Linked DNA regions of Zea mays. The protein of the gene in region 1 binds, or shares a complex with, the protein of each later gene. Links are inferred from orthologs where the notes say so. Each region holds a gene or a part of one and is shown in the gene's direction. Other genes may lie near its edges. The genes, in order: Protein TIC110, chloroplastic; Protein TIC 20-v, chloroplastic; Protein TIC 55, chloroplastic-like; tic22.

Region 1 (8,197 bases):
GACATGTTAACACATCGGATCAACAAACTCATTTGTTCTTGATGACTAACATCAGGGGTACAATCAAGGATAACTGAAAAATATTTGGCCTCTTTAACAGTGTTTATGATAGATTTAGTGATGTTAGAAGCCAAAAGAGAAATCAACTCATTCTGAATTTTATGACTAAGATAGTGATAATGAATCTCATTGTTTTGAATACGTCTGAGGTGATCTTGCATAATCAAATCAAATTCAGCAATCATCTCAACACAAGCTAAGAAATTACCATTTTGATCATTGTAAAGTTGCTCACTTGGTCCTCTAAAAGCTAAATTCCGCTTACCAAGAAATTTCACAACAACAATTATTCTTTGTAAAACTTGCCTGATACGCTCTTTCTCCTTTGTGATTTGTTGCTGAATGTTTTTGTCAATTGTTTCATGCTTACCAAGCCTCACCCTCAGTTCATTCCAAGAGTTCATGCTTATAATATGTTGTATACTACCCTCATGTTCTTTCAACCTCTCATTAATATGCCTCCAATCTCTGAACCCCTCATGACCCAATGAACTCTTGCAGTTTTCTGTATTGAAAAGCTTGCATGAAAAACAAAACACTCTATCAACGTGTTTAGAATATACCAACCACTTTCTATAATAAACTTCTCCATTGCTCATCTTTCTAGAGTAATGAGTATATGAAAAATGTCTGCCATTGGTATCCAAAGGAAATTCAATATTTTCATCTCTGATGGGTCCCTTCTCTACTAATATGTCCCTCGACTTGTTATCAAGATTATCCCAATTTCTTGGATCATAGATATCTTCAGTAAAAACAGGTTGTTCATCAACACTAGCATTTTCTGTAGGAGGTGAATTAACCATAGGCTCATGATCACTCACATTGTTATCATTCCTATCGGTGTCAATATTTTCTTCTGGTGTAAAGCCCTGATCTTCTGGGTTATTATCAGGTTGCTCCTCTATAGCAACTACAGCCATCTCATTTTGATTCCTTGAAGTTCTTGAATTACTAGGAAAAAATTTGTCCATAGCTCCTCTCTGTGTTTCTATGAACTCATCTGCTCGTTTCTTCCTCTTTCTTTTCTCAGAACCGGATGGATACTTTCTAGATGACATGACTATATGCTGAAATTAAAAAAATAAAATTATGAATTAAAGCTATTGATTAGTTACAATAATAAACTTAAAGAATTATTACTGATTATGGAGTACTTAGTACAGAAATTTCGACAAGTGTCTGGCTTACATCGAACGAAGAGCAAGAGCTGATAATAAAATATGGCTGCTGGGTCGGCGTTCCTTTTCCCTTTTGCCGAATTGCCGTTTCTCTCTTCTCTCTGCTGCTGGGTCGGCAGTCGCCGTTTCTTGGGGTTTGGGCGCCGTCACTGCGCGTCTGCGCCGCGAGCCCGCGAGGCCGCGATGGTGCGGGGCTGCGGGAGGAGACGAGGAGTCCAGGAGGACGTGGGTCGCGGCTGCCGGCGATAGCCCTGAGGCGATGAACGGAGGCAGAGGCAAGTTAATGAAGCGAACGCCGGAACGCGATCTGCTCTGCTTCTGGGCTTCCTGGCGGCGTTTCTGTTTCTGCTTCCTATCTTTTTCCGTGATCCGCTCCTTCCTCCTTTCCGTGATCTGCTACTTGCCGATTTGTTTCCATATCCTAGTTATATAGTCTCAGGGGTGGGGCCCATCATCGCGGGGGGCCCGGGGCGACCGCCCCGCGCGCCTCCCCTCAGGGCCGTCGCTGCCTTCACCGGCACCTACACTAATGGATCAGCATTTACTAATAAGCTGTTTGATTTGAGTAATGAGCTAGTTCATTATATTTTCACTCCTCACTTTTTTGTTTGGTTTGTGGAATGGATTGAGTTGATCCACCATCACCTTATTCCTTATAATTATTTAATTAGTACTAATATAAGGAATAAAATCATCCTACCAAATTTGAGAAATGAATCCATAATGCACCACCACATTTTGGATGGAGTAATTCCTCAAACCAAACACCCCCTAAGTTTCCAGAGCGCTGCCGCTGACAAGGACCTCCATGTCCTCCGATGGCAGCCCTGGCGGCGAAGATTCAGATTCACTGGTGGAGCAATACCCTTGCAGCGCCCCCCTATGCAGCCTTTGAACATGCTGGTATGAATCTAATGCTTAGTTACTCTAGTCCCTAACTATACTGTATCTATCATATATTCATGGAGTGTTGTAGTCATTGCTACGATTCTTACCATGAAACTGGGAACACAATAACATGAGAATACGATGATAATCAGGTCTAGATTTTTTAAAAAAAAGAGGTAGTCAGTCCAAAATCAATGTGTGTCTTCCTAGAATAACCGATGGCTTGACTAAAAAATTATCATTAACACTTGTAGATTACTGATGCTTTCTATTCAGTAACTTGCAGTTAACACAATAAGCGATGCTTGTTTTTGTTGAGCACAAATGGAATACTAAACCTCATTCGTCAAGCACGAAATATGATTGTGTTTGGAAGATAATATTGTGTTCAGGTATTCAGAATAACATAAGCTGATCACATGATGAGTTCCGAGGCAACTCAATCAACTCTAATGTACTGGGGAACTGTTGTGAGATGATACCATTTTGAGGGGAAAACAATTTTAGGAAAACCCTTAATACATAGTTTTAGGGGAGATTTTTTAAAGACTTTGGAGTTGCTCAAGCTATATCTAGCAGCTTATCTATCTCATTTTCTATTTCACTCACTATTTTAAACTCTACTATATAAATAATACAATCTATAGTGCAAAAACATGTCTATTCATGCTTGGCTAGAGATAGCCTTAGTGTGGACTGCGGTGCATGCGTCTGCGTCCGTGGTGAGAATTATTACTTATTGGGCTTTATTGGCCGACTGTCGAAGGATGACCTAGGACGTGAGATAAGTTCAGAAGGAGAAGCGACCTGCCTTTGTTTTGGTTTAGTAAGGACAAATGGACAATCACATGCTGATCTCCGCGATCTGGTAAACGAACACAAGAGATATTTATTTTTGTTAAATTTGTTAAAGATAAAGAAACGCACAGCAACCATTATTATTATTATTATGATCCGAAATCACGGTATATTATTATATATATAGTAGTAGAACAACAGATTTTAATTTTAAGGCATTGAGTTCCGTGAGTACGGCCATGTTCCCAGTCGTGGCGCGCGACCGCAGCCAGGCCAGGAGCCAGCAAAGCGAGCAGTCGACCATGTACCACGGAACGAGAGGAGAAAACGTCTGAAATAGGCGAGGGATCACGGCCGCGCCCGCGCAAGCGGCAAGGCAAACCCTTGTGTTGGTCCAGCCGCCCCTCGCCCCGCCGCACCAATCCCCCACCCCATCCCAACGCTATCCGCTGCCCTCGCCGCGCCCCCCTCCTCTTCCACCTCGTCCGCCACCCTCCCCAATCCATCACATCCCACCCTACCCCACCGGCCCTGCCGCCGCCGAGGAGGAGGTGTCCCCACCCCCGTCCGCAGAGGCAGCAGGGATCTCTACCGGGCATGGAGCTGGCGCTCGCCTCCGCGAAGCCCTCGCCTCGGGCGGCGGGGGCCTTCCCGCCACTTATCTTCTCGCCGCTTAAACCATTCCCGCTCCTCCGCTTCCCGCCGCGGAGGACCGCAGCGGCGGCGCTGCGGCTCCGGCTCCGGCTCCGCGCGGCTGCCGCTGACGCGGGCGAGACTTCCCCTGGCGAGGAGGTGTTCGGCGCGCGGCGGGAGCTAACGGGCATCCAGCCGCTGGTGGAGGCGCTGCCGCCCGCAGCGCGGACGGCGGCGGAACTGGCCGTCGCCGCGGCAGCCGTGGCGGCGGGATACGGCATCGGGCTCCGCGCGGGTGGCGGGTCGCGCGCCGTGGCGGTGGCGGGGGCGGCAGTGCTCTGCGCGGCCAGCGTGGCGGGAGCAGCTGCGGTGAACTCCGTGGTCCCAGAGGTCGCCGCCGTGGGGCTGCACAATTACGTCGCGGGCCACGACGACCCCACCAACCTGGACAACGGCGAGGTGGAGGCAATCGCGAAGAAGTGAGTAGCTCTCGTGTCTTGTTGCAGCATTGAGTTTATTGGTGAAATGGTTCGAGCTACTGCTGTGTTGCCTCCTGGTAGTCTTGTTGCAGCATTGACGTTATTCTTATATTTGGTAGTGAGCTACCTGGATCCAATGAAGTGCCCCTTAGTTGAGGTTTTTATTTTGCTCATGAACTAAATATTAGTACTTGCAGACATAATATAGTACTGTGATTAGCTCAGCCTTTTATTGTGATACGCACTTGTCTCCCCACTCCATTTCCAATAATTCTTGCACGCTTGTTTATTTGGTTCCCCCATAGTCCCATTGATTGTTGGAATGCAAGTAAATTTTGGTTTAGCTAGTTACATGTATGTTAAAAGAAGTTATATACAATTTCCATATTTGTAAGTTTTTTTTTGGTTTCTTGGGAATCTAAATTGCATAATCAGTTCCCGTTATCTCTTTTGGAGGCTAATTATTGATGTTGCTGTTGCTCCTCTTCATATATTCTTATAATGTGCAATTTTAATTTTAGATATGGAGTTAGCACACAGGATGACGCCTTCAAAGCAGAGCTCTGTGACTTGTATGCCAGGTGTGCTTCTCGGTGCTCTTGTTTTTTCCCCAGCTGGCACATGTGCTTGTGTGCATTAAGTTTTCTTAAATTCTTAAGGTGTCACCTCACCTCACGCTTTAGTCGCTTATAAGCGTAAGGTGGTAGTAAATCTCAATCGCCCCGCTTCGTCCTACCAACTTGATAACCATGGGCATAACTAGTGTTGTGCTACTCACTACTCACTACCTGTTGCCCCCTGCATACTACACTAGTTGGAGGCACGAAGGTTTCTGCAAACAATTGCAGGAAAAAGGAATAACCATAATCCTCTAGATGTAATCATACTATTGACTATATATTAAGAAGCAATTGGTCTCTGTTTTTTTAATCTATATTAAGGGACCCAGGCAAGCAAATAAATTATTGCTATTAGGCGCAGTCAGCCGGCCACTCAGTTTATTTGGTGTTTTGGGTTTGTATATTTGGTGAGCAAAATTTCAGTTTTCTGAATAGAAAACCCAGAGTTTTTGCCTCAAACCAGAACATACACTTTGTTGTTCGGTGTCTTCTTGTGTTTACTGAAGAAACGGCATGGTAACCAGGGACAGATCGCAAGGGGTAGGAACAGTGGCTAGTTTGGCGGACTTCATCACCACGGCTGGCAGCTTGCCGAGCCACGATGACCGAGGTAGTCCTGCCGAACTCCAGGGAGACTTCATTCCTCGATGATCTCCTAATACAAACTAGGGTCTGCCTTTATAGTATGAGGCAGCCACAAAAATAGGAACTGAATAACTTATTTTGGAAGTAAACTAATGCATATCTCCCTAGAATAAAACTTTCCAACTAACTCGATTTCTAGCCACGTTGTTGGTCACTTTCCTGTTTTCCGCCTGCTGCCCCTTGATTACTTTCCTGTCTTGCGCCTGCTACTTCTTGGGCTGGATCCTGGCGCCGACGCTTTTGATATTGGCAGCCCACAAAAGCGTCAGTAACAGCTTGTCATTGTCAGTGCACTACAATGTTATCAAGTCATCTAGTTGATCTTAGTCGCCATGGGACCAACCAGGTGACTAGTTGGTCCTAGTCGTCCTATATATATCAGGACTAAACTAATATACCAAATATGTACTGATGTACTATATGTCTGGAGTATAAATCAAGCAGGAAGATAACTCTAGGGTGGTGGCTGCATGTAGGCCTGCAAATTGGGTTAAACAATACGGGCCTTAGTGAATTATGCTATCCCAGTTGCAGCCTATGTCCTAAGCTGTTTGGCAATTCCATTATGTTTCTGGTCATCCACCTCTTAGTCAGATGACTAATCGGATGACAAGAAAACTACTTGACCTAAATGAGTCGTAGCCCCTAGTCAAGTCCAGGATACTGATTGGGATGACTAATCGGATGGGTTGATAACACTGGTGCACTAGCTGAGGCTAGCATACCAGTGAGTGGTGGTTGTCAAGTCATGCGCTCGTCACGGCCACCTGCATGTCCATGTGCCATCATGCCCATGTTGTGGCAGCTAGCTTTCTTGTTTGCCTGGGTCAGTTAGGGGAAGGAGCGGGGAGGGATAAGTGGATAGTAACACAATGTGGGGTCAGCTGGTCCGGTTAGGGAACAAACTGTTGTTCTCTGTACAGGGCAATTCACATGCCTAGTGAGCTACCTACTAACGAACCATCAATCCAACATATTCCTCATAAATTGCCTTCTGTGGCCAGAGCTAATATGCACAACACAAGCAAATACCAAGCTTGTTTGGTGGTGTTGGTTGTGGAATTTGTATTTGTGCATTTGGGTGGTGTCTCCAACTTTTAATGACAGCCTTTCAGTTTCGTGGATGGATGTCAACAATCTTGCCTGGGTACAACTGAACTCATGTATACAATACTCATGTAGTCATGTATTAGCATCTAGATCAGATGGGCAGTTATTTGGTCATCCTTTTCCTGACCATGCTTTTATGCAGGTATCTTTACTCAGTACTTCCTCCAGGAGATGAAGATCTCAAAGGTACAGAGGTTCAGGCAATTATAAAATTTAAAAGTGCTCTTGGGCTTGATGATGTAGATGCTGCTAACATGCACATGGAGGTATTGCCTCCCGATCTATCTCCTATGCTCTTATTGTTTTCGTCTTTGTTTCCCACATTCTCTATGTTTTATGCCAATAAGGTACATTTTCCTCTTTGATTGTTGTACTAGATTGGTAGACGCATATACAGAGAGAGGTTGGAAACGAGTGATCGTGATGCTGACATGGAACAAAGACGGGCAAGTGTCTATGCTTTGATATATGAATGAGATGTTTGGAACTTCCTGTTGGCCCATGTTATAACCATGTCGAATTTTTTGCAGGCATTTCAGAAGTTAATTTATGTGTCCAATCTTGTCTTTGGAGATGCATCTGTATTCCTACTTCCTTGGAAACGTCTGTTTGGGGTGACTGATTCTCAGGTAATTAATTATAAAAATGCTTGTTAATTTTTTGCATGCCTTCTCTCAGTTTTATGCTTTGATCTCACAGAGTTATTTGTTCTGTATTTTGAAGTTCAGTTCGTTTTTTCTGGCAACGTTGCTCTTTGCATAGTTGTTATGCTGCTTTTGATGCAGTTGATATTTCGAAGAGTTTGGACAAATGTTCATCAAGTGTTAATGCCACTACTCACAGTCCAAATAAGAATGTCTTTCTTTACTTACCATGGTATTAAGTATCATTTGACATTATGTTTCTAGATTGACATTGCTATGAGGGAAAATGCCAAGAATTTATACTCGGTGCAGCTCAAGTCTATTGGAAGAGGTAATGCTAGAACACAGTTTTGTTTAGGTGTTAGTTCAATTATAAAGTCATAGTGTCATATTATTCATAAGTTTTGCTTTATCAAGTAAATCATATAGTGTGCTGTAAAGACAGCAATATCAATTTTGTTGTTGTTATATTTATTGTTTGATATATCTCTTATTGCATCTCAAGAACATTCTGAAATCACAAAATGCTCTCGGTTTAGGTCTTGACATAGGCACACTCATTGAAGTAAGGAGAGCACAACTTGCATATAAACTTTCTGATGAGGTAACTCTTTTCTCAACTCTGTTGCTGCTTATTTGTTTTTTCTTCATTTGGGATGAAATCTACATCAGTACTTATAGAACAATGTCATTTTATATCCATGCTATGATGCATATACACTAGCTGAGAGTTTAGACAAAAATAAAAGGTCAATTATCATTGGTGCTTGGAAAAGATAATAGAGTCAATGTAAGCATGTTTTTGTTTTTAAGTGACATTCTAAATTTCTTGCAGATTGCTGCTGAGATGTTCCGTGAGCACGCGAAGCAGCTAGTTCAAGAAAACATTTCATCAGCATTAGACATCTTGAAGTCACGTATTCCGTATGGAACCTACTTACCCTTTGAGAAGCATGCTACCAGATTTAATTATTAGATGTTGTGCATAGAAACCTGAGTGATGTTCTAAGCTAGATAGCCTGTGGTTCGAAGGAAATAACATAGCCAGTTTTCTAAATCCGGATATATTGGCTTGCAATTTTGTAGATATTTCGTTATATAATGGAGAAAAATATATCTTATAAGTAGCAATGGGTAAT
Region 2 (7,118 bases), on another chromosome or scaffold:
TGAAGGCAAAGTATGGGCTGAGGAATTTATTGGGTGTGGGAGTTTGCGTGGCTAGGCTAATTTTGGTCTTATTTTCGGATGTACATGCTTTCGGTCGAGAAAAAGGACTCAACTTTCTAACAGGTGATTTGCTTGTCATTGGAGGCTCCATGCTTCATGCCTTCAGCAGGGTTACCAAGGAGTACTTTGTCCACGAAAGCACCAGAGTTGAGGTGATGGCAATGCTAGGTGTTTTTAGAGCAATTATAAATGGTATACAGATAAGCATATTCAAACAAAAAGAGCTCAGATCGACTCACTGGACTGCTGATATGTGGGCTGTTCTAATGCGTACAATCGCTTACCAAGAGAAGGTTGATGTGATGTACTTCATTTCTTTTGTTGGCACAGCAACTGGCTTTGTGATATACTCATACAGGGGCTCAAGGCAGAATACTAGAGAGACAGCACGAGTTACACATGCCATGGATGAGGAGGCTGCAGCGGCAAACAACACAGCACAAGTTCCTGTTACTTTTGGTCAGTGCTTGCAATTTTCCTGGGATCCTGGTGGAAGTAATGCTACACATCGGCTTGAGGGCAAGCCGAATTTTAAGAAGAGGGGAATGTTAGGAAAGATGAATGAGTCTCTGGTATGTGGGGCTGCGTCCCTGAGTCACTGGTCCGTGGAACATATGTCGTAGTATAAGTACGATAGCTGCTTTGGGCAGGGGGATGAAATTACGGAGAAACTGAATACAACGGAGCTCTCTGTTGTCTCATTCCCAACCCAAGCTATCTCTCTCGCCTACCTCTTTCTCTTCTCCAATCCGCCTGTGATCGGTGTGCTAACAAGGACACCGTCAGCAGTGATGAATATCGAGGTCCCCGCGTCGCTGGGGTGACATCCGTAGTGACAACTCTACCATCTAGATTTCGCTATGAGCTCTAGCTTTTCCACAAATTTCTGCTCCACTTGACAACTTAAGCTGGAGCAACCTTCACGTGGAGCGGAGGAGATGTTTGGCTAGAAGGATACCCTTAGCTCAAAAAAATTGTCATTATTGCCCCTAATATAGGTTCCAGATGTCATCCCCTATGTCTGTGTCTCCTTCTTCACGCACATGCTTGCTAGGACAGGAAGGGGATGCCGGTTTTTCCAGAGCATCCAACAATAAAGGTGTATGAAGGTATTCTAGTGTGATTGGTGATCGGGGGGAGGGGGATGACTTCCCATGGCTTGGACGTCGTTAGGTTGTCGATGTTGTGCACTCCTATATATGTTGTGCCAGAAGGAGGAAGCAATCAGACACTTGAAGATAATGTGGTCGTAATCTTCATCTGCCTGACAGAGCCAAGGTCACACACGACGCTGGTAATCATCCCTTTCTTGACAAGGTTCTTTTTGTGGTTAACCTTTCCTTATATGAGGATCCACACAAAGAACTTAAACTTTAGGAGAGAAAGAGCTTCACACGAAGTCTGGATTATCAAAGTTGGAGGTAGTCATTGATTGATCAGCTTGTAGAGCATACCGGTTTTTAGGATCCCTTCTATGTCAATCAGTGGGCTTAGTCTTTTATCATTTTGTTGTGTGAGAGAGATGTCGTGGAGGGTGTTCTGGAGGGTGGCAAGCTCCTGTCTTTGAGGTTGTGCTCAGGCGTGGTTTGAGGTGCTGATCCAAGCCCATCAAGCAGCACTTGCCTGACAGTGGTTTCCATATTCGTTGCATGGCTTGCAAGGGAGGGGAAGCTGTCTGTGATCGGACCACTATCCATCTAATCATCAAGGCGGAAGCAAGTTGTCCTACCATTCCCGATGCTCTCTCATAGTGGTGATCACGCGGGAGGAGTTTCTGCATGCTATCCTAGTTTGCTCTTGACAGAGGGAGGCCAAAGTAAGTTTGGGGGAAGCCTTCCAACTTGGCACCGCACTGCAGGATCGAGGTGAATTGACCGGCTTGATGTTGTGGGTCAACATGAATGGGAACAAGGGTGCTCTCATCGTAGTTGATGCAAAGACCTGTTGCTTGGGCAAAAGTGTCAAGGATCATCCGGAGCTAGGTGACACTAGAGAGGGAAGCATATGTGGCAATGAGTGTATCATATTTGCATATTGGATTACCGGCCCCCGGTTTTGTCATTTGACAGTGGGTGGCGGACTTCCCCGTTTTTCTTGATGAGAACCTGAAGGACATCTTCCACTGGCAGGAACTGGTAAGGTGAGTGGTGAGATCGGGTCGCTCTGCCTCAGGCCTTTCTTGCATGGGAACCATGGGTCGAGGCAAGTAGGCAACCGTGGAGGAGATTTCCAGAGCTTGAGGTGGAGAGGATCTCGGCGATCCAGGATCTCCATCGGTCAGGGAAGCCTCTCTCTGCCATGGTCCTTCAGAGAGCTTCCCAATTCACGGTGTCGAAGCCTTGGCAAAGTATAATTTGATCACTAGGACTGGTGTGGTGTTTTCCTTTTGTGGCAGGTCTGAACAAGTTCAAAAGTGTAGATGAAGCTCTCTGTGATCGATCTGCCTCGAATGAACCCGATTTGGTCAGTGTCGATGATCCTGTCAATCTGTCGTTGTAACCTGGTGGTGAGTATCTTGCTGAGTATTTTGACGCCGCAGTTATGCAAAGAAATAGGGTGGAAGTTTGACGGCGGTTTGATTTGCTGTCCAACTTACCATATTTTATCTATTTTTTATGTCTAAGCTTAGTTCTTCGATTCAAATAATTAACATTAAACAAATTATGACATAGTTAACCGTTTTATCTATTTTTTATGTCTAAGCTTAGTTCTTCAATTCAAACGATTAATATTAAATAAATTGTGACATAGTTAGCCGTGAACCAAATAGACTGAGTGTCCTTTTTTATGAGGAAAATGTAGGAGTGGTTATTCCGCCCGGGTCAGCTCTCCCGGAGTGGAAATCGTTTTGAGAGGCATCACTACTTTGCTATTATGAAACATGCCGCATATGCTATAATATCATTTGATTGTTTAAAAAATGAAAATAATAAATATATTATAGACATTGAGGGATGATTTGCCTCTGTTGTTGTTCGTGCATTCACTTTGGTCGCTGATGTTCGTCTCCCTATAAAATTGACCCTCAATGTCGCTATATATATAATATATATATTTCTTTTCCGATTTATTAAACGATCAAATGATATCATAACGTGGATGACATGTTTTATAATGATATTCAGACGAATCCTCTCAAAACGATGAATCCCAATTTTTTCCGTGGCGGGCCACAGCGGGCCACGCTGCAAGGCGCGAGCGCATGCCGGCCGGCATGGCGGCCCACGTGAGGCTCACCGCGCGTCGCCCACGCGCCCGTCCTTCCTCCCCCGCGACGCCGCAGCAGCACGGCCCGCACTGGCACTGCACCAAGCAGGCAGGCAGGCAGAAGCAGGCACCACCAACCAATCTCCTCGTCTCCCACTCGGCTACCCACATCCCCCGGAGCTCCACAAAAATCTCCGCTCCCAGGCTCCCACCCGCGCGGAGGGGGCAAGCAGCCAGCAGCCGCGCGGCGCCACTGCCTTGCCCTCAACCCCTCACCCAAACGCCTCGCTTTGGCCGCCCCCCACAAGGCCACTCACCCAAAAAATCTCCACTCCTCGACCGCACCGAGCAGAGGATCACATGGCATCCGCCGTTTCGCTTCTCCTCTCGCCCCCGCGCCTGCTCCACCGCGACGGCACATCCCGCCTCCTCAGCATCCCGCACCGGCGGGTCCTCCTCGCCGCCCCCAACAACGCGACCCCTCGTCGGCTCCTGGCCCCCGCGCCGCGCGCCTCCAACAAAAACGACAACAGCGGGGCCGTGGAGGCGCCCGACCGCCTCGTGGCCGCGGTCGCCTACCTATACCCGTTCCTCGACGGCGCGCACCACGGGCGCTTCCTTCTCACGCAGTTCCCCTTCTTCGGCGCGCTGCTCCGCCCGCTGGCCCCCGCGGCTCGGCTCTTCCACTCATCGCCGCTCACGCCCTTCCTCCTCTTCCTCACGCTCTACTTCGCCGTTGTGCGGAACCAGCAGGCGTTCTCCCGCTTCGTCCGCTTCAACGCGATGCAGGCCGTCGTGCTCGACGTGCTGCTCATCTTTCCCGACCTGCTCGCGCAGTCGTTCGCGCCCTCCGGTGGGGTTGGGTTCGAGATCTTCCAGAGCATGGAGAGCACGGTCTTCCTCTTCCTGCTCGTCTCCTTGGTGTACGGCGGTGGCGCCTGCCTGCTCGGGAAGACACCACGTCTGCCCATTGTCGCAGATGCAGCGGAGCGCCAGGTGATGTGACTACAATTCGTTTCCTGCGGACCATGTTGATGGAAAGGGAATCTGATGATATGCAGAAAACATCCCAATGGTTCGTTGGCGCTTGCAGCAAATCACAAGCTTAGTATAATTTACAATTGCCTTGCTGTTTATATAGGTCTAGTTGCCGATTGAATGCATGTACTGTGGAAGGTTGATACAAAAACGTTGCAATACTACCATATTTGTTGAATTGACAAATTTTGAGAGAGCAGTACATGTACACTGTTTTACAATCTGAATTGCATTTACAAATGAGGAGGAATGTCTGAATTGGGGAGCTTTATGACTACCCTCCCCTGAGCAGCTTCCTTTGTACCTGAATGGAGGCTTAGGTCAGTAATTGTGATTTCAATATAAATAAGAGCATTCCATCAATTGTCAATTTCGTCGACAAAGTCCTGGTCTGTTGTCGGCTTGTCGCCACAGTTTGAATTTCAGTTTGAGCTGGAGATCTTGCTTCTCTCGCCCCGAAGCTTCTTGGTCACATGTATAATATCTTCACATTCATGATCCTGTCAGGTAAGGTTAAAAAGAAGTGGTAAAGAAATGGCTGATTCTGTGAATAAGCCATGACATAAGTCTAGCAACTTTGCAAGCATTAACGTGCTGATATACTTTCATGTGCTGTTATTACCTTCAAATTGTCATGTATATTATTAGGTTCTGTTGCTCTTCTGTCCATACTGATCTCTACAGATATACTAGCTTGAGATGGGTCTACTCCCGACCTTTTTAGAGCTTGTGTCAATCTATTTAGAAGCCTGATGTAAATAATGTTTTCTCTTGTTAGTTGCAGATATAGCAAAATTACCATCATAAACAACAGTAGTTTCGGAACAAACCCTTGAGAGTAAGCATCAGAAAGACTTTGAGTATCCTCTTGGAGAGTTTGTTTCTCGTTCTTGCTCAGTGTTTTGTTGTCTGCATCAGAGGTTGACATGCTCAACCATGGTGGCTGTTTGCCAGGTACGCTGTTGTCTGCATTTTAAAGCTATTAGCCTTAGTAAATCAATTTCTTGCCATGATCTTAGCAATTGAAAGGTGGTAATGCAACGAAAGAAGGAAATTGGGAACTTACCTGCCCTGCATTTTGCTTTGCTTGTTGCCTTTTGGGAGGAAATATCGTTTGCACTAGTTTCTCTAGCACTTTGTGTGTCAAAGAGAGCAGACGATGCCACCGTAGTTTGCTTGGAATCATACTGTTCTTTGTTCTCATCTTTCGTGGAAGGTGCTAATCCTCCTCCTTGGATGATATTCTGCGAGACCATGAAAAAGAACAAAGAAATTTGTTATCATTGATATATCATGGGCTCCATGCTTCCATGTGGCATTCCTTTTTTCTTTGGTATGTGTGTGTGCACGCGCGTGTGGAATTACCTCTGTGTTTTTCCAGCATGATCTGTAGTAAACTTTTGCCTAGCAAGGGGAAAAAATAGTGGACAAGTGAGTTAAAATCCAAATGCAGCCCTTTTTTTTGTGTTATATAGTAAAATATGTGCATGATTATTGTGCAGTACTGCGATGAACGTGATAACGTGGCTATGTTAGTACCCATGGCATGGAGGAGTCCTCGTGATTCTTTTCTGGTTGGGCTGACTCGTACTTTTGGACCTTCTCTTGCAAGAACCTTATGTATTCAATAACCTGCGAGCAAAATGTTCCACATGCTAAAATACTTGCTGTAACGTGCTGATCAGGATTCCGGTCTCCCCAGTTGCTGAGATCATGTTACATTGAAATATTTTTTAGTATTATATTTTCGTTCTGGTTCGTGTTATGTGTTTGCGTATCATTGAACAAGCAACATGGAGGATATTGCACCCAAAACTGGGACCAAAGGGGGCATTTCAATGTTATAAGAGCATCTCAAGAGGAGCCCTAAATAAGAAATTGTATTTTAAAATATAGGGCTCAAAAAATCATAAAACAAAAAAAACTTGACCTGCGGCATCGAAGCCCATGTGAGAACGACCACGACCGGGGCTGAGCCTTAGACCTGTGCTTTGTCGTGGGACAGACGAGTGGATTTTTTTAACCACAGCCTAAAATTCGCTCCCACGGGGAGTCGAACCTAGGACCTGAGGAGTGCTACTCAGACCACCTAACCAACTCAGCTAGAGGCTCTTTCGCAAAAAAAAAATCATAAAACATTTAGTCCTATTTTATAAAAAATCATCAAACGATTATAGAGTTCGGTCTCTCGGACCCTAAATATAGTACCCCATATGTTAGAACCCTAACCTTCTTTCCTCTTAATCTACAACTATTTATTTTCTAATAACGTGATTTATTTTCTAAATAGCATTATTTAAAGCCTAACTGTTGGAGTAAAATGTTTTATTGAGGTCCTAAACATTTTAAATATGATTATATTTTTAACTTTTAGAGCTTTATTTTAGACCTTGTTGGAGATGCTCTAAGTGCAGCATTATGAGATCTCTGGTTACCGGCGGCTGGCTGTTGTAGAAAGGTTGGCGATCTATTTACCTCAAGAAGGAAAGATGCCTTGTCCCTCTTCTGGTCACCGTGCGGCAGGAGTTCCCGAAGTATTTCCAACCTAAACCAGAGGCATATACACACATACTCGTTAAAATGCATCTCCCATATATATCGCATCTCATGTATCTATCTGCTGCTGTTCGGCAACAGAAGTAGAATTCAAGATTTGCGTGTTGATGACAAGTTCATGCCGTGATGTAATTCCAACATGTTGAGCAGACAGCTGGCTCACTCAGCTTCCCTACGTTCTGGGTAAATCTTTTTTTTTAGTTTCTGATCTGCTAGATGCAATTGATGAAAATTGAAATTGGACTCAACGAGCATTG
Region 3 (7,991 bases), on another chromosome or scaffold:
CTATAAAATTCGTTAGGGCAAAAACCATTCAAAATCAATATAAACACATAATCGGTTGAGTCGTTGTAATAGTAGGAATCCGTCACTTTCTAGATCCTGAGTCCTATAAACAATTTTATCTTCCTCCACACGTAATCGTAATGATACTCAGATTTTCCTCACAGCCAGATTCTCCCCACAACCAGATTTTCAGAAAAGCTGGTCAGAAAAAAGCTGAACCAAACAGGCCCGATATTTGTCATGTCATTCAAACCGCAAAGTTTAAGTTTTTGTTTTTTTTCATTATCTAGGTCCTGTTTAAAATCAACTCATTTTTTACGAAATCATTTTTTTAGCTAGAAAAGACTAGTTTTTTTGTTTTCAAAAACCATGAATCCAATTTTTATAAACTGGGACATAAACTGATATGTTTAAAACTATCTCGGTTTCCATAAACCAATTTCTTAAAAGGTGGTTCCAAACAGGTCCTTACTTAGGTTTGGTCGTTCGGACATGAGAATTAACAAACAATAAAAGTATATAGTGTACGGAAAATGAGAAAACAAGAAGAAGAGAGAGAGAGATACATGCGTAAAGAAAGAAAATCATACTAAAATAAAATACATATGCTAAAAAACTAGCTAACTAATAATTGATAGGTAATTGTTAATTAATTTAGAACTGATTTAGTGATCAGTGAAATTAAGGGGATCCATGAGCCCCTATAGATTCTTTTTGTTTCTCTGGTCACCAAACCAGCCCCTTAGTGTTTTAGGATACAATATCTAGATGTGCCATTGATGTTCTTGACTAATACTCTCTGTTTAACTCGCTAATGGTAGGACACATGGATATATAAAGATAAGTGGAATAATAAAAGTATTTTTCGCAATACATTAGTTGATTCGATATAGAGAGGGAACACTAGTGCACTACTCGCTTTGTCCAAATTTATAGGTCCCTTTGGCTTTTCTTTGCTTATTTTATTGGTCGTTTGGCTTTTTACGATACATATATTTCTATTTTGTAGCTCAGTATATCGTATATCTAGGTATATAACAACAACTATGTACCTAGTGAGTTGTAGACGTCGTACGACACCACAGATAAAAATTATGGGCAGAGCGAGGGGCGTAGGGTAGAGCCACACCGATTTTAGGTGCATCCTGATTAGTAGCACATTGACATTGTATAAAGGTTCAGGTCGCAAGATACGTAATGTGAACGCTCTCTTTAACTTTAGTAGCTCAATGAACATAGAGGTGAATAAGATTACAAAATTAGATATCAAATAAGTCTCATAACCTCTTAACTCTTCTCATTGGTTTTGGTGAGAATTCTAGGCTAATGGTCTCTAGTTTACCTCTATGTCTCTATGCGTGCCCTCTAGCACCTTTGAATGAGTCATAGCTGTTCTAACTGAATTGAACCCGAATGAATCAACCGGATCATTCCATCTCCCTTCCATGTTTCTATACTCCTCCATTTATATGCCTACTGGGTTATGACCTAGTTCAATACAGGTCAACAACAATTATCTCATCGTAGTCATGGAGTACTAAATGGTTGCATGCCTTGATCGTGCCACGATGCTGAGGATGTCATATTGCGGTTATAGATAAGTCGTATCATAGAGGTAGTTATGACTTGTCATAGCGATGGGTATCAGAGTCCATGTTGTTGGGTATGATGTAGTTGGTAACAGATGTAGCAGTCTATATTTTTTAATGCTTGCTGGTACACTAACATATGGAGACATGTCTACAAGAATGATGGCATATATCAAATAGTGGTCTTAAGTATGCCCGATGTCTACGTCATGTACCGAATAGTGGTCTTGAGTATGTCTAGTGTCTATCTCGTGGGAATAGTGCGCATACTTTACTACAATATCAACCAACACATTTAATGTGGTGAACGAGATACCTTTCCAAACCATTAGTAACACAAGTCGTTTGGAGTAGACTTTAACATAGTACGAGTGTTATACCTTTGAGGACTTCCCTACTCTAAGGATAGGCTGCCATATTCTTTGTTCTGTAGGTGCTCCCATACAACTGAGTCGGAGCATTATTTTTCATATGAAGGACCCTAGGACCTGGCTATTAGTCATAACTCTAAGGTCGAGGTCATGAAATATTTAGGGAGGCCTCTATGGGGCCTAGGTGAGCGAGAGAACTCTAGAAGCTTGGGAATGCCTCAAAGTATAGAAAGATCCTGAGGCCTTAGGGGCCCTGGTCATGCCAATTATGATGGACGGGAGTGGCTAGGACAACCTCACGGGTTCAGGGGCTCAAGATGAGGTCCATTAGGGTGGGTCTCTAGGGGCACATGTCTGGAGTTAGTCAGGCTCTCGATTACTTTTATCGAGATCCTTAGAAGGCATCTTCATCTAGAGTGTGACCTTCCCCATGCGCTAATAGAGGTCCCCAAGTCAACCATAGACCTATGAGGCTTGCTGGTGGGCCCAAATTTCTCGTAATACACTTGAGAAAAGAAGACTTATTATCTGTTAGAGAACTACTACATAGTTCAATGATGGCAAGCACCCAATACCTGGTGCACTAAGTGTCGTCATGGTACAACATTACAGTACCATAAGCAACCAAAAGACACGAAGAAAGTTTATGGACAGAGCAAGGAGCATAATCTATAGGCGCATTGATCCTAGGTGTAGCACATAGTCATTTTATAAAGGGCTAGGCCACAAGATGATACCATATGTCCTCTTTAAGTACGATGGTTTGACGAACACATAGGTGAAGAAGAATACAAGCTCAGATATCAACTAAGCGTCATGATCTTCTAGCTCTCCCTTACTATTCGGTTCTCATGAGTTCTAGGCTAGTGGTCCCTAGTTCACCTCTATGTATGACCTCCAACAACGTGCTCTAATTTTTGCCATCTAAAAGAATATTCTCTATCCTTTAGAACACACTCTAGAAAATTTCATCCTCTATATCTTTATCATCTCCAACAACATCCTCTAAATTTCATTCTCTGCAACATTGTCTTTCTTCTCCGACACCCCACCTCCACCGTTGTACTCCATCCATCCACCCAGTATCTCCCATGCCCCTAGATGCGGGTTGAGAAGCACTCCACACGGAGCGCCGTGTCCAGGATCACCTATCTCATCTCCGGCAACACAGAGGATGGACTTGTGCTGCGCCGAGGTGGGGGAGAAGCATAGCAACAAACAAGGGAGGAGTGCGAAGAGAGAAAGATCGAGTTACAGGTCCTATGCGCCTACGTCATCCAAGGTCGTGTTTGTTGCACATCCGGTCGCCGTGCGCCTCGTCGTCCTCTTCTACCGTGGATGCAAGTTGGGAGGTGCTGGCTGATGTGCTACTTTGTCGCGGCGTGCACAGCCGACCTGTAGTCTCTCTACACAAGACGGTGCACATAGCCGACACAACGGAACACTCTACATCTGTTGTGCGCGTTAGTGGTCCGCTACTTTAGCGGGTCCTTTAGCGGACCTTGAGAACGAAAAGCAGATTGCGCACGTTAAATTTAGCGTACAGGAGCATTTACAGAGTCTTGCTCTCGAGAGTCTTGTACGTTTAAATTGACAAGCTAATTTTACGCAAATAAATAACAATTTGGATAGATCCAAACGAGATATTATTATAGCTGACCAGTGTAAGCTAGTTCATGCACACGCAAAAAAATCTCGCGATATACTAGTCCGTCAATCGGTCACACTTGGACGAGAGTGACACACGAGAGATCACGGCAAGTGTGGGAGTCTGGAACCGGGACGCTATAGTAGTAGACTAGGTGGCAGAAAGCTGGAGCCGCCATCTGCCGTGTGCGTTGCACACTTGCGCTCGTAGTCGTAGGTGACTCGTAAGGTTTTTATCCGGTGAGGCCGCAGAGATCGAGCGCTCTCGGCCAACCAAACGTCGTGGGACCGAACATGACAACGCCCTCTACCGCACCAGCGCCACTGGCATCTCTCCTCCGCGTCTCCGCTGCCGCTGTTCCAGTGGCTCGACGACGTCCTAAGAGCCCCGCGGCTGCGGCGGCGGCACGGTGGGAGGGAGGTGGGGGCAGAAGGAGGTGCCGGGCGGCGGTGGTGGAGGAAGCCGGGGTGCTGCTGCCCAAGGAGGGGGAGGGGGAGGGGGAGGGGGAGGAGGCCCCGGACGCGGCGGCGGGGCGCTACGACTGGAGGGAGGAGTGGTACCCGCTGTACCTGGCCAAGGAGGTGCCCGACGACGCGGCGCTCCCGCTCACCGTCTTCGACCGCCAGCTCGTGCTCTGGCGCGACGCCCACGGCGTGCTCCGCTGCCACGAGGACCGGTGCCCTCACAGGTGAGATCCTCCGGCCGGTCCACTCTTGTGTGCGTGCAACGATTGGTTTGGTCGAGAACCAGCAGCTGAAACACGATTAATTGCTCCCAAAATGCTTACCGATCGATCAGGTTAGCGAAGCTATCGGAAGGGCAGATCGTGGACGGCAAGCTGGAGTGCCTCTACCATGGCTGGCAGTTCGACGGCGACGGCAAGTGCGTCAAGATACCACAGGTCTCTCTCTCTCCCACCTTTCTTACTGACGCCCCTACCCTACGCGGCGAGAGCATGGATGGGTGATGTGATGGGTCCGTGCCTGCACTGCAGCTGCCCGAGGGCGCCAAGATCCCGCGCAGCGCGTGCGCGCGCAACTACGAGGTGCGCGACTCGCAGGGCGTGGTGTGGGTGTGGATGTCGGACGCCAACCCTCCCGACGAAGGGAAGCTGCCGTGGTTCGAGCCGTACGCGCGGGCGGGGTTCACGGACCTGTCGACGGTGCACGAGCTCCCCTACGACCACTCCATCCTGCTGGAGAACCTCATGGACCCCGCGCACGTGCCCATCTCCCACGACCGCACCGACTGGACGGCCAAGCGCGAGGACGCGCAGCCGCTCTTCTTCGACGTCACCGAGCGCACGCCCCGCGGCTTCGCGGGCTACTGGGGCCGCACCGGCACGCCGCACCTCCGCAACCTTCTGCGCTTCGAGGCCCCCTGCGTGCTCACCAACACGCTAGAGTTCGCCGACAAGGACGGCAGGGAGCAGTGCTTCTCCGCGCACTTCCTCTGCCGCCCCGCCGGGCAGGGCAAGTCCATGCTCCTCGTGCGCTTCGGCTCCACCCTCAGGTCGCCGCTCGCCAAGGTGCTCCCGTCCTGGTACTTCCACCAGAACGCGTGCAAGGTGTTCGAGCAGGACATGGGGTTCCTGTCGTCGCAGAACGAGGTGCTGCTCCGGGAGAAGCTGCCCACCAGGGAGCTCTACCTCAACCTCCGCTCCTCCGACACCTGGGTCGCCGAGTACAGGAAGTGGATGGACAGGGCGGGCCACGGCATGCCCTACTACTTCGGCCACAGCACCCTGTCGCCGCCGCCCGTGCCGGCCGTCGTGGAGCAGGCGCCCGCAGGGGCCGTCGCGGGGATCTCGGCCTCGTTCCCGGCCAAGGGCGGCGTCGGCATGGTGCACGCGCCCAACCCGACCAACAGGTACTTCCGCCACGTCGTGCACTGCAAGGGTTGCAGGGCAACCGTCAAAAAGTACACCTCGTTGAAGACCGTGTTCGCGGCCCTCGCGGCGGCGGCCCTATCGGCCGCCATCCTGGCGGCGACGAGACAGTGGAAGGCCGTCTTGGTGGCGGCGTCGGCCGTGCTAGCCGCCGCATCCTATGCGTGTGACGCGGTGCTTTCTTTGATCACCACCAACTTCATCAGGACACACAGGAGACTGTAATTAATGTGGTACTGGCCACTGTATATTTAGGTAATGGCCGGCGGGGAACGTTCTGTACATTTGTATCACCGTAGCTGCTGGCCTGCGGCTGTTGTATTTTGTATATTTGCAGTAACGTTTTGCATGTCAGCAGCAACTGATTAGGTTGGTTACCTTACCGGTTAGTTTTTTTACTACTGCAGCACAAACTCAGAATTAGAAGATAATCAACATAGCAAAAGATTTAAGTCCGCAGACACAGCCACCAAGCAATCGATACACAACACGCTCGCACGAAGCATTCTTAAAATTCTCCAGTATATACACAATACAAGCAGCACACGTTCACTGTTAAGATAGTGGCACAATGCCTAAAGTCACATGTTATTAAGTAGACAAACTTGATAACAGTGGGCAAACACCGACTCGGAGCATGTTTTAAAGGCAACATACTTGATAGGATATATTAGCTACCACAGTAGACACGTTTGATGCTCCAGGCTTACCGTGGTTGAACTTAGAATTCCCTGTCGGGAAAGAGGACGGGTGCAACAAGCGACCATATGAACAGACCTGCCGTCGCCCACTGGGTTGCAATCCTGACCCAGACAGATGGCCACCCAACATCCACAAGCTTTCCGCTCTCACCAACCGAAGTTGACCAGCCAGTCAAGAGCATTGCCGAGTACATGCTGGCCAGGGAGAAGATGAGGTGAAAGAAAGAGTAGGAGTATGTCACCGGCCTCGGCACATCCTTCTTATCTTCTTGTTCGTCTGCCTTGCTGAAGGGAAGCAATGGCTTGTCGGTCCCTGGAAGGTAAAAGGGAAAAAGGTATCATAATTAACGATGCAAACCCAATATTTGCAAAACTAGCTCATTAGCCACAGAACGCAATCTAACCACGTGGTGAGTCTGGTGGCGAGAGCACAGTTGCAGAGGAGCCAGCGCGGACAGCAGAATAGACCACAGAGAGGACCGTGGTAAGGAGTCCCAATGTAAGGCTACCAGTTGACACAGCTTTTGAGTGATTGTGAAGCCCATTGCATTCGTAATCCCTTGGCTCACTGGAGAGTCCACTGTAGCACAGATATGTACAGTACATACCAATAACTGATGCAGGCAACAAGCTTCCATTGATCTGAAAATCAGAAACTTCAAAGTTCAGCATTATTTAGCACAAAAAAGATAGTTACATTCAAGGGAAATGTATAGACATAGTTTTTGGAAAGCATGGTCATACGATGGCCAAGATGGAATCTAAAACAATCAAACCAACCCAATAATCTAGAGTTGCAAGTATAATACTGCCCCAAACCCCAAACCCATCCAGTATAACTTATCAAGCAACGGTTTCTGGTCAAATCAAGTAATATAAACAAATGCAAAATCAGTAAAACGGAGAAAAACAGGCTACATGATGGTACCTTTGGGTGCAGGGCAACAATAGCAAACGCAAAAACAAGAATCAACGTGAAGACAATGAAAAACAGGTTGAGTCCGCAGTCATGTCCAGATGGAGTGAACCAGTGAAATAGGAGACCCGAGAAACAGAACGTGGCAATGTAACAGACAACCGAGACAACCAACAGAGCCATGTACCTGCAGCGACAAAAGAGCATAAATAATACAAAAAAAAACACCAATGGGAGCCCAAGCAAGTATAGGAAATAGCATCAGCAAGCAACCAACCAGAACTGCTCATCCTTGGCGACCCAGTTCTCATTCCATCCGTGCACAAAATCCAACAGCAGAACAACCTGAACGAGAAGGAACAGCCCAGAGCCAAACTTGGATATAGATTCTGCAGAAGTAGAATTGTAGTAAGAATTCCAAACACAGCTGACACACAAATGACGGGATACATAACAAAGTACATGAATGACCAACAACAGCAAAGCAGTAACTAATTACTAAATGTTCAGGGAACTCGACAAATGTAGTAAGTCTACAAGTAAAAACAGCTGACTACCAATTGGGTTTATCCATTGCACACGCCCAGTAAGTCTACAAGTCGAGAATTGCATAAATTCTGAATCAGAAATCTCCTTAATTTTCTTATGAGCCTCACGGAACTCAAAAAAAACTTCATGAAAGGGGTTGTTTGTTTCTCAAAAAAGATTAGTGCCATCATGATATGTCAAGTATCTATCAACTATGCGTTCAAATAAAAAGGTTTCTATTTGTGATCGCAATATGAATCAAATGGTCTGACAAATAGAAGGAAAGGGAGTTAGCTCACCATAGAAGCTGACGACCCCGTTGGGCACGAAGAACATGAGGAAGACGATGA
Region 4 (8,092 bases), on another chromosome or scaffold:
GCATCCAAGTTTTCCACTTCTCAACCACTTACAAGAGCTAGGCATTCAATTCTAGACACACCAAAGAGATCAAATCCTCTCCAATTCCACACGAGGCTTTAGTGATTAGCGAGAGAGATTTGCCGTGTTCTTTTGAGCTCTTGCGCTTGGATTGCTTCTTTTCTTTCTCACTTGTTCTTGTGATCAAAACTCCATTGTAATCAAGGCAAGAGGCACCAATTGTGTGGTGGCCCTTGCGGGGAAGTTTTGTTCCCGGTTTTGATTTGAGAAGAGAAGCTCACTCGGTCCGAGGGACCGTTTGAGAGAGGGAAGGGTTGAAAGAGACCCGGCCTTTGTGGCCTCCTCAACGGGGAGTAGGTTTGCGAGAACCGAACCTCGGTAAAACAAATCCGCGTGTCACACTCTTCATTTGCTTGCGATTTGTTTTGCGCCCTCTCTCTCGGACTCGTTATTATTTCTAACGCTAACCCGGCTTTTAGTTGTGATTAATTTTGTAAATTTCAGTTTTGCCCTATTCACCCCCCCTCTAGGCGACTATCAGTTACCTTGAAAAATGTTGGAGCATAATCCATTCTTTTGACGAATTCAGTATTCGGCATATCTCTAGAGTTGAGAATCATAGAGCTAACAATTTGGCACAAGATGCATCAGGTTATCGGATAAAGAGAGGGAAATTTCACAATACTGAAAATCTGATAACCAGTGCAGAGCCAAATCCCCAGGTCGCGGACCGTCCGCATGATGACGCCGGACCGTCCGGGGTTACCAGGGAAGTTCTCCTAATCGATTCGGCTGATAATGAAGCCGATGCAGGAGATTGGAGGACGCCCATAACTAATTATTTACGAAATCCCAACGTTAGGACAGATAAGAACATTCGGCGTACAACTTTCAAGTATGTTTTGATGAGTGATGAACTCTACCGCCGAACAGTCAACGACGTCCTGCTTAAGTGCTTGGGCCCAAATGATGCTATATTAGCCATGGCCGAAGTACATGAAGAAATTTGTGGTACCCATCAATCGGCTCCAAAGATGAAGTGGCTGTTGCGAAGGTCTGGTTTTTATTGGCCTAATATGATAGCTGATTGTTTCAAGTACTACAAGGGTTGCCAAGTGTGTCAAAAATTCGGCGACCTACAGTTGGTCCCTGCAGCCGAATTGCATCCTATCATCAAGCCTTGGCCTTTCAGAGGATGGGGATTAGACTTTATTGGGGAAATTCATCCTTCATCATCAAAGGGGCATCGGTTCGTGTTAGTTGCCACTGATTATTTCACCAAATGGACTGAAGCCGTTGCTCTGAAGAACATGACGCACAAGGAGGTAATTGAGTTCATAACTGAACATATTATTCATAGATTCGGCATTCCCCAGACCTTGACTACAGATCAAGGGACTTCTTTTATGTCAAAGAAGGTACGTGAGTTTGCTGAATTATATAGAATTAAATTGCTTAATTCATCTCCATATTATGCTCAGGCCAATGGACAGGCCGAGTCTAGTAATAGGACATTGATTAACTTGATAAAAAAGAAGATATTGGATAATCCTAAGCATTGACATAAGATTTTGTCCGAAGCTTTATGGGCTCACATGATATCTAAACATAGTGCTACTAAAGTGTCTCCTTTTGAGCTTGTCTATGGGCAGGAAGCAGTGTTGCCTGTGGAAATAAGTTTGAATGCTGTCAGGTTCGCCAGACAAAATGATCTAACCATCACTGATTATTACAATTCAATGATGGATAATATTGATGAGGTGACCGACAAGAGGGTGATAGCTTTGGGAGCAATAGAAAAGGATAAGATCATGGTAGCCAGGGCCTACAACAAGAAGGTCAAAGCAAAGTCATTTTAAGTAGGGGACCTGGTGTGGAAGACCATCCTGCCTCTAAGGAATAAAGACCGGAAGTTTGGAAAATGGTCGCCAAGCTGGGAAGGTCCTTATAAAGTAAAACAGGTAATATCTGGTAACACCTATTTACTACAAACATTGCAAGGCAAGGATTTACCCAAAGCTTTGAATGGGCGTTTCCTCAAGCAGTACCATCCTAGTATGTGGCAAGATGCTTAAGAAAACCGATGTGATCACATCGGACTAAGGTGCTTTTGGTTTGCCTAGCTCCACCAAAAGGCAGGAGGGCATATGTTTGGCACCAAAATGAGCACGCGGACGGTCCGGCCCTGAGGCCGGACAGTCCGCGGTCCGCACAGTCCGCGCTTGTGGGCCGGACGGTCCGCGCATGCGCAGAGTAGATTAGGGTTCCGAGTTTTGTGCTATGTTTGTTAGCTAGATCCGCGGAATTAGCTCGGAATCTAGTCGTGTAAAGGGTCCAGCCCCCCTCTATAAAAAGAGAGATATACGGCCGATTTGTAATCATCATCAATCGAATCAAACACTTCTATTTCGCATTTTATCCTAAGAGTAGTTCTAGTCTAGTTTAGGTTTAGCCTCTCGATCTCTAAATTCCCGCTTCTCTTCGACTCTACGCTGATTAGAAGAGTCTAGGTCGGCCTGCCGAGCCTAGACATCACCTAGGATCTCTCCTCCCCGACGGGGTCCCTCCCGGGAGCGAGATCCAGGTCGCTGCCGGCGACTTCCGCCGCCCCTGCGTACGCGCGGATCGTCCGCCCCCAGGGCGCGGACCGTCCGGCCGTCAGGCAGAAGACCCTAGCCCTGCGCCAGGTCACGAACCGTCCGGTCCCAGGCCGCAGACCGTCCGCGCCTGACTAGAGAGCACCGCCACGGTTCTTATTAGGTGTTTGACGCTCCGAAAAGGCGTCAACAAATTGTTTAGATACTCTCGTAATCACTCCAATACACGTCAGTTGAATATCAGCTTCAGCGGGCCGCAATCCGCAACTCTGCACTTGGGGTTGGGCTCAACCGAATCGCCCCCGCGCCAGGCCGTTCTCGTCGACGCCGCCGACCAATAAGGAGCCTCGCACGCCACGCCACCACCGCCGCCGCAACCCACGCGATGGCGCCACCGGACTCCATCTCCACGTGCTCCTCCCTTCCCCTCGCCGCTGCGCCCATGTCCGAACCGACCCCCTTCCCCTTCGCTGCGTCGCCGCTTCCAAACCCGCTCGTAGCCACCGCCTCCTTCCTACAGCACCACCTCTCCCGTTTGGCTTCCCACCTGAACGTCCCGCGCCCCGCCCTCGCTGCCGCGGCTGCGCGCACGCCGGGCCCCCAGGGCGCCTCCCTATCTCTCTCTCTCGCGCCCGATGAGGTCGCGCGCGCTCTTACCGGCACTCCCGTCTTCACTGTCTGCAACTCCAGCAACGAGTTCGTGCTTGTCTCCGACCCTGCCACCGGCCTCCGCTCCCTCGGCCTCCTCTGCTTCCGTTCGGAGGACGCCGACGCCCTCCTGTCGCATGTATTCCCCGCTCTCTCGCCACCTGTTTGCTTTGGGCTCCGGTTTTGGATTTTTCACTAATTGTTCGGGAGGTTTGTGTGGTTTAGGTGAGGACGCGGCAACCGGTGCTAGGCAAGGGGGCAAAAGTGGTGCCTATTACACTTGATCAGGTTGGTTTCATTCTGTATTTACACTTGATCAGGTTGGTTTCATTCTGTATTTACACTTGATCAGGTTGGTTTGATTCTGTATGTCTTGTCATTGATCATGTCAATACTTGATGAACATTTTTTTTCTTTGAATTGTGGGTTCTGTAAGGTTTTTATGTTTCGTTTTGAAGTACGAAAGCCAGTCCAGTAATTAGGTATCTTAACTTATTAGCAAGGTGAGAGGTAAGACTTTTAACTAAATTGCACAGCGAAAAGAGTCTTTTCAAACTAGTTCTATCAGGCTTATTGGCCAGGAATTGTGTACGCTGTCATGATTTAGGTAGCCAATTACTTATTAGCAAGGTTATTAAAACGGTAAAACGTTGGAACGCTCATGGGTCAAATTTTGTCTTTTAAACGTTTAAACTTTGTTTAAACGTAGTTTTAAACAACACAGGAAAAATACCAATACATCATAATTTCAGACAATAATATGCAGTTAAATACCAAAATATAGAGATTAGTGGCTTACCAAAACTTCACCCATGAGCTGGATTGAACCTCAAAAGTAACTAATAGACTGGGCCCAAAAGTAGCTAATGGTCTAAAATGCATAAAACACTGCGTTTTACAGTTTAGAACGTCAAAACGCTAAAACGTGGTTTCAACCTCTAATTAGAGTTTTGACGTTTAAACGTAGTTCAAACATCGTTTAAACGTAGTTTTAATAACACTGCTTATTAGCTTATCTTGTTCATGCTTTCATGATGCATTAAGCTTGGTTGACGCCACTGCAGCTTTGGTTGTTTAGTGCATGCATAGACATTGTGTTTATCTTGAACCTGACTGATACTCTATTCAGTGTTATAAAAACTACGTTTAAACGTCAAAACTCTAATTAGAGATTGAAACCACGTTTTAGCGTTTTGGCGTTCTAAACTGTAAAACGCAGTGCTTTATGCATTTTAGACCATTAGCTATTTTTGGGCTCATTCTATTAGTTACTTTTGAGGTTCAATCCAGCTCATGGGTGAAGTTTTGGTAAGCCACTAACCTCTCTATTTTAGTATTTAACTTCATATTATTGCTGAAATTATGATGTATTGGTATTTTTCCTGTGTTGTTTAAAACTACGTTTAAACAAAGTTTAAACGTTTAAAAGTCAAAAATTCACCCATGAGCGTTCCAACGTTTTACCATTTTAATAACCTTGACTCTATTATATGTTTTATAATGCAAACATATATACCTCATAACTTTGCTCTTCTATGTAGGTCTATATGTTAAAGGCTGAAGGTATCGCATTTAGGTTCTTACCCGACCCTCTTCAAATAAAGAATGCACTGGAGGTCTGCTCTTTAATAGTTTTTTTCCCGCTCTTTGCTCTATTATCTTGTACATGGACCTATTTATATTCTACTCCCTCCTCTCTCTATGATGTGAGCATAATTGAGATGCATCAGTCAGACTGCAAATGCTCTTGAAAGCAGCAATGCAATGATTTTTTTAATAATTACTTGTTATTTTATTACAAATACAGGGATGAAACATGTGTGTCCATTTCTCCATATCATGTAGTTAAATGCCATAATATTGACCTTCTTGGATATCATTGGCTTGCAATGGTTTGACGGTGGCCAATCATTTAATTACTAGTGTATTAGCAATATTCCTCTAGTGCATGCAGAAACTCTACATAAATTGTTTGACTTGGCAAAATGCATACCCATAGCTATTGGTTTAACATGTTCCAACATTTCAAAGAAAACATATGTTTGAAGAGATTTTTGTTACTTTGAGCAATCCCAATAATTTGGTCACAAGGTCTGTACATTTGTGGCTTATTGTATGTAAAAAAAGAGTTGATCAAGGGGAGAGACGTCCCCTTGACTTCAGTCTTAAAAAGAGGCCCACCGAACCTGGGAACAGGCAGGAACCTCAATACCTCATGTGCGCACGCTTATTTGGCAGCCGTGGAACTACATTGTTTCAACCAGGGAAGTGGGCACACAACCATGCAGCACGAGGGATTGAACCCTGGTTGAGAGCTCCGCCCCTTTGGTTTCTCAACTACTACGCTATCAGCGTGTCTGCTGGTTTTTTGTATGCCTTCAGTCCTTCACCATAATGCGTGAATCCTAGACATGTGGACATAGAACATGTGAAGTGTTAGTTCTTACCATAGTGGTAGGTGGTGAATCTTTCTGTTCTTTTTCCTGGATGGACTTGTTGGCCTAATGACCTGCAATGATTCTCCACAGTGCACATTTGTAAATCTAAAGTTTAAGTAACACATACTTTTGTCTTTAGTTAAGTTTAGGTAACACATACTGTTGTCTGTAGAACAAGCTAAGTCTTGCATATAGAATATGTAGATCATTACAACCCCCTTGATTATTCTTCAAGTACGAAGAAAAAAGGTTTCTTCATCCTTGTGACATGTATTACCCTTTTTATTTTCCAGATGAAATCGGGCTTAACTGCTTTTGATGGTGTTCCTGTTTTTCAGGTAATGTCCCTGATTTGGCCACTCTAATAATATATTTTACTTTCCATATTGACATTCAATTTTAGTTTCTTGTGAGTCATGTGCGTGTCAATTTGATGCGATGAGTAGTTCTTGTTATGCATGCTAAACTCAGTCAAATACTCGCATGTATTAATTCACTAGGATGGCCACAAGGAAACCCTTCATCTGTACCACAAATTAAGTGTAACCTTAGGCGCTACCTCCATACCTTTGTATATGGAGACACATCCTATCAATTAGTATAAGGTTTTCTTGATTAAGCAAATACCAGTAATTCCTCTTTTGGTAAAATTTAGGACAACCGGCAAATTGTTGATTGATGCCTTGGATCTAAGAATCACTAATGCATTTAGCTATTTCCAAATCTAATATATTATGGATAGGCTCTAGAAGAAAAGGTATGAAAAAATTGAAGCTGTTTAGATTTACTTGCCCATCCCTATTTTTATTGTGAAAATTAATTGTATGTCCATTCTGTTCTCTTTTTTTTTCGAAAAACGCAGGAGAGCTGCGCATCTTTATATTAAGAAGAAGGGGAATGTCCATTCTGTTCTCACTATTAAAGTCTCATCTTGTGAAGCTGTGTAGTCAAATAGTCATGCTGTGCTGTCCCCAACCAAAATCCACTGTTTCCCCCTTTTTTGGAGTTCATTTTATTTTCTATCGTCTGGAGCTTTTAAGGAAGGCGACATCATAACCCTTTTTCTTCATTAATATAAACTGTATGTGGTTTCCGGCATAAAAAAGTGACCACACCGCAAAAAACTACCAAGATAAAGTGAAAATTCATACAAACCACAATGAATCAAACTGCACTTGTTGCATTAGTGTAGATAAAGTAATTGCCAAGCTGATTAGAGTTTCATACATTGTACACTCCAGCTTCAGCTTCAGCAGAATGGTGTCTATCTTTTTCTGGTAGATGCTCCACTCCACACTTAACTTTTGAGTTTGTTGTGCAGTTCCATTTAGTTATATACTATTCTAATGTTTGTACACTAGACTTGTGTTATTTTGGGGGTTCATGTTCCTCATTGGTACTTTGAATCATTTATTGCTGCAATGAAAATGTTCCAAGTGCTGTGCAGTCAGATCTGCTGGTTGTGAAGAAGCAGAAGAAGCGCTACTGTCCAGTATATTTTCAAAAGGTTTGCCAGGCTGCATTTTATATCATGTAGTGTTTCTTAGACCTTGATTAGGTTCTTACCACTTACCTCGTTGTTCAGGAAGACATAGAAAGAGAACTTACAAGGGCTTCCAAAGGTTCAAGAGGGTCAGCCTTATCTAAGAAAATTATGGTATGTAGTTATGTTCAGTTATAGCTCATGCAAATCTCTAATGAAACTAATTTAACTCTTCTGTGTCTATCTTCCAGGTTGGAAGTTTGGAGGATGTCCTGAAGAAAATGGAGGTAGGATGGATATAAAATGGCAGAATGGATATTGCTTGTACAGTTTTACTAGTTCAGCAGCTCTTACCATTATGCTATTTGATTCTGCAGATAAATGAAAGAGATTCTGGCTGGGATGATTTGATCTTTATACCCCCTGGGAAGAGCCTCAACCAACATATCAATGAGGTATCAGCATGATTTTGTTCCACGGTGATAGCTCAGAGTTTGAACAGACTATTCACTTTAAATGCTATGATGGTCAGCCAAACGAAATATCAAATTGCTGCCTGAGCTTTTCCTTTGGATAGCTATTTTCATGGTCAGCTTTGTCAGGGAAAATTAACTAAAGTGATAGAATATGGCTGTGAAACAATTTTCTTGTTGCTTCGATTCACAAAATTAACACAGGTTACACAAGAAGATTTGATGAAGAGTAAGTTGCGACATTGGTAAATCACCTTGCAATATAGTTTCATGAAAGGGGTTATACAATAGAAAAAGAGACGAATGTTTATGGCCCTATTCGGATGCATAGTATATACCATGATTTTTTAAATATTTTGGTTTTCGAATGCTAAGGTGTTTGGACGTCACAACCTTGTAGTTTTGAAAACCATGCTTTTGCTAAAACTATAGTCGTCTTGTTTTTTTAGAAGC

Evidence for each region.
Region 2: Protein TIC110, chloroplastic (region 1) and Protein TIC 20-v, chloroplastic share a complex: the UniProt entries of both Arabidopsis thaliana proteins name them as parts of the tic complex. The link is inferred for Zea mays from reciprocal best matches to the Arabidopsis thaliana genes TIC110 and Tic20-V.
Region 3: Protein TIC110, chloroplastic (region 1) and Protein TIC 55, chloroplastic-like share a complex: the UniProt entries of both Arabidopsis thaliana proteins name them as parts of the tic complex. The link is inferred for Zea mays from reciprocal best matches to the Arabidopsis thaliana genes TIC110 and TIC55-II.
Region 4: Protein TIC110, chloroplastic (region 1) and tic22 share a complex: the UniProt entries of both Arabidopsis thaliana proteins name them as parts of the tic complex. The link is inferred for Zea mays from reciprocal best matches to the Arabidopsis thaliana genes TIC110 and Tic22-IV.

Annotation. Positions count from the first base shown.
Region 1 is NC_050096.1:234,057,884-234,066,080, forward strand, and holds the start of Protein TIC110, chloroplastic, read left to right. Parts: upstream 1-3,415; 5' UTR 3,416-3,524; coding exon 3,525-4,039; intron 4,040-4,560; coding exon 4,561-4,620; intron 4,621-6,556; coding exon 6,557-6,680; intron 6,681-6,791; coding exon 6,792-6,860; intron 6,861-6,944; coding exon 6,945-7,043; intron 7,044-7,322; coding exon 7,323-7,389; intron 7,390-7,597; coding exon 7,598-7,662; intron 7,663-7,893; coding exon 7,894-7,982; intron 7,983-8,197. UniProt on the Arabidopsis thaliana protein: Involved in protein precursor import into chloroplasts. Forms a voltage-dependent cation-selective channel at the inner envelope of chloroplasts, which specifically responds to a transit peptide.
Region 2 is NC_050100.1:212,571,697-212,578,814, forward strand, and holds Protein TIC 20-v, chloroplastic, read left to right. Parts: upstream 1-3,497; 5' UTR 3,498-3,627; coding exon 3,628-4,272; 3' UTR 4,273-4,664; downstream 4,665-7,118. Other genes in the region: solute carrier family 35 member F2, read left to right, coding at 1-632, 1,115-1,169, 1,272-1,354, 2,130-2,195, 2,456-2,461; uncharacterized protein LOC100279738, read right to left, coding at 4,728-4,805, 4,928-5,054, 5,136-5,271, 5,372-5,549, 5,671-5,709, 5,845-5,937, 6,781-6,850. UniProt on the Arabidopsis thaliana protein: May be involved in protein precursor import into chloroplasts. Not redundant with TIC20-I, TIC20-II or TIC20-IV.
Region 3 is NC_050100.1:221,688,755-221,696,745, forward strand, and holds Protein TIC 55, chloroplastic-like, read left to right. Parts: upstream 1-3,900; 5' UTR 3,901-3,901; coding exon 3,902-4,296; intron 4,297-4,406; coding exon 4,407-4,509; intron 4,510-4,602; coding exon 4,603-5,721; 3' UTR 5,722-5,844; downstream 5,845-7,991. Other genes in the region: uncharacterized protein LOC100191588 precursor, read right to left, coding at 6,218-6,510, 6,602-6,839, 7,126-7,300, 7,391-7,502, 7,941-7,991. UniProt on the Arabidopsis thaliana protein: Involved in protein precursor import into chloroplasts. Part of the redox regulon consisting of TIC32, TIC 55 and TIC62.
Region 4 is NC_050104.1:9,247,563-9,255,654, forward strand, and holds the start of tic22, read left to right. Parts: upstream 1-2,828; 5' UTR 2,829-2,982; coding exon 2,983-3,384; intron 3,385-3,470; coding exon 3,471-3,533; intron 3,534-4,786; coding exon 4,787-4,861; intron 4,862-5,976; coding exon 5,977-6,021; intron 6,022-7,130; coding exon 7,131-7,190; intron 7,191-7,268; coding exon 7,269-7,340; intron 7,341-7,417; coding exon 7,418-7,453; intron 7,454-7,543; coding exon 7,544-7,633; 3' UTR 7,634-8,092. UniProt on the Arabidopsis thaliana protein: Involved in protein precursor import into chloroplasts. Imported into the intermembrane space via the Toc translocon. May be involved in the import pathway used by proteins without a cleavable N-terminal pre-sequence.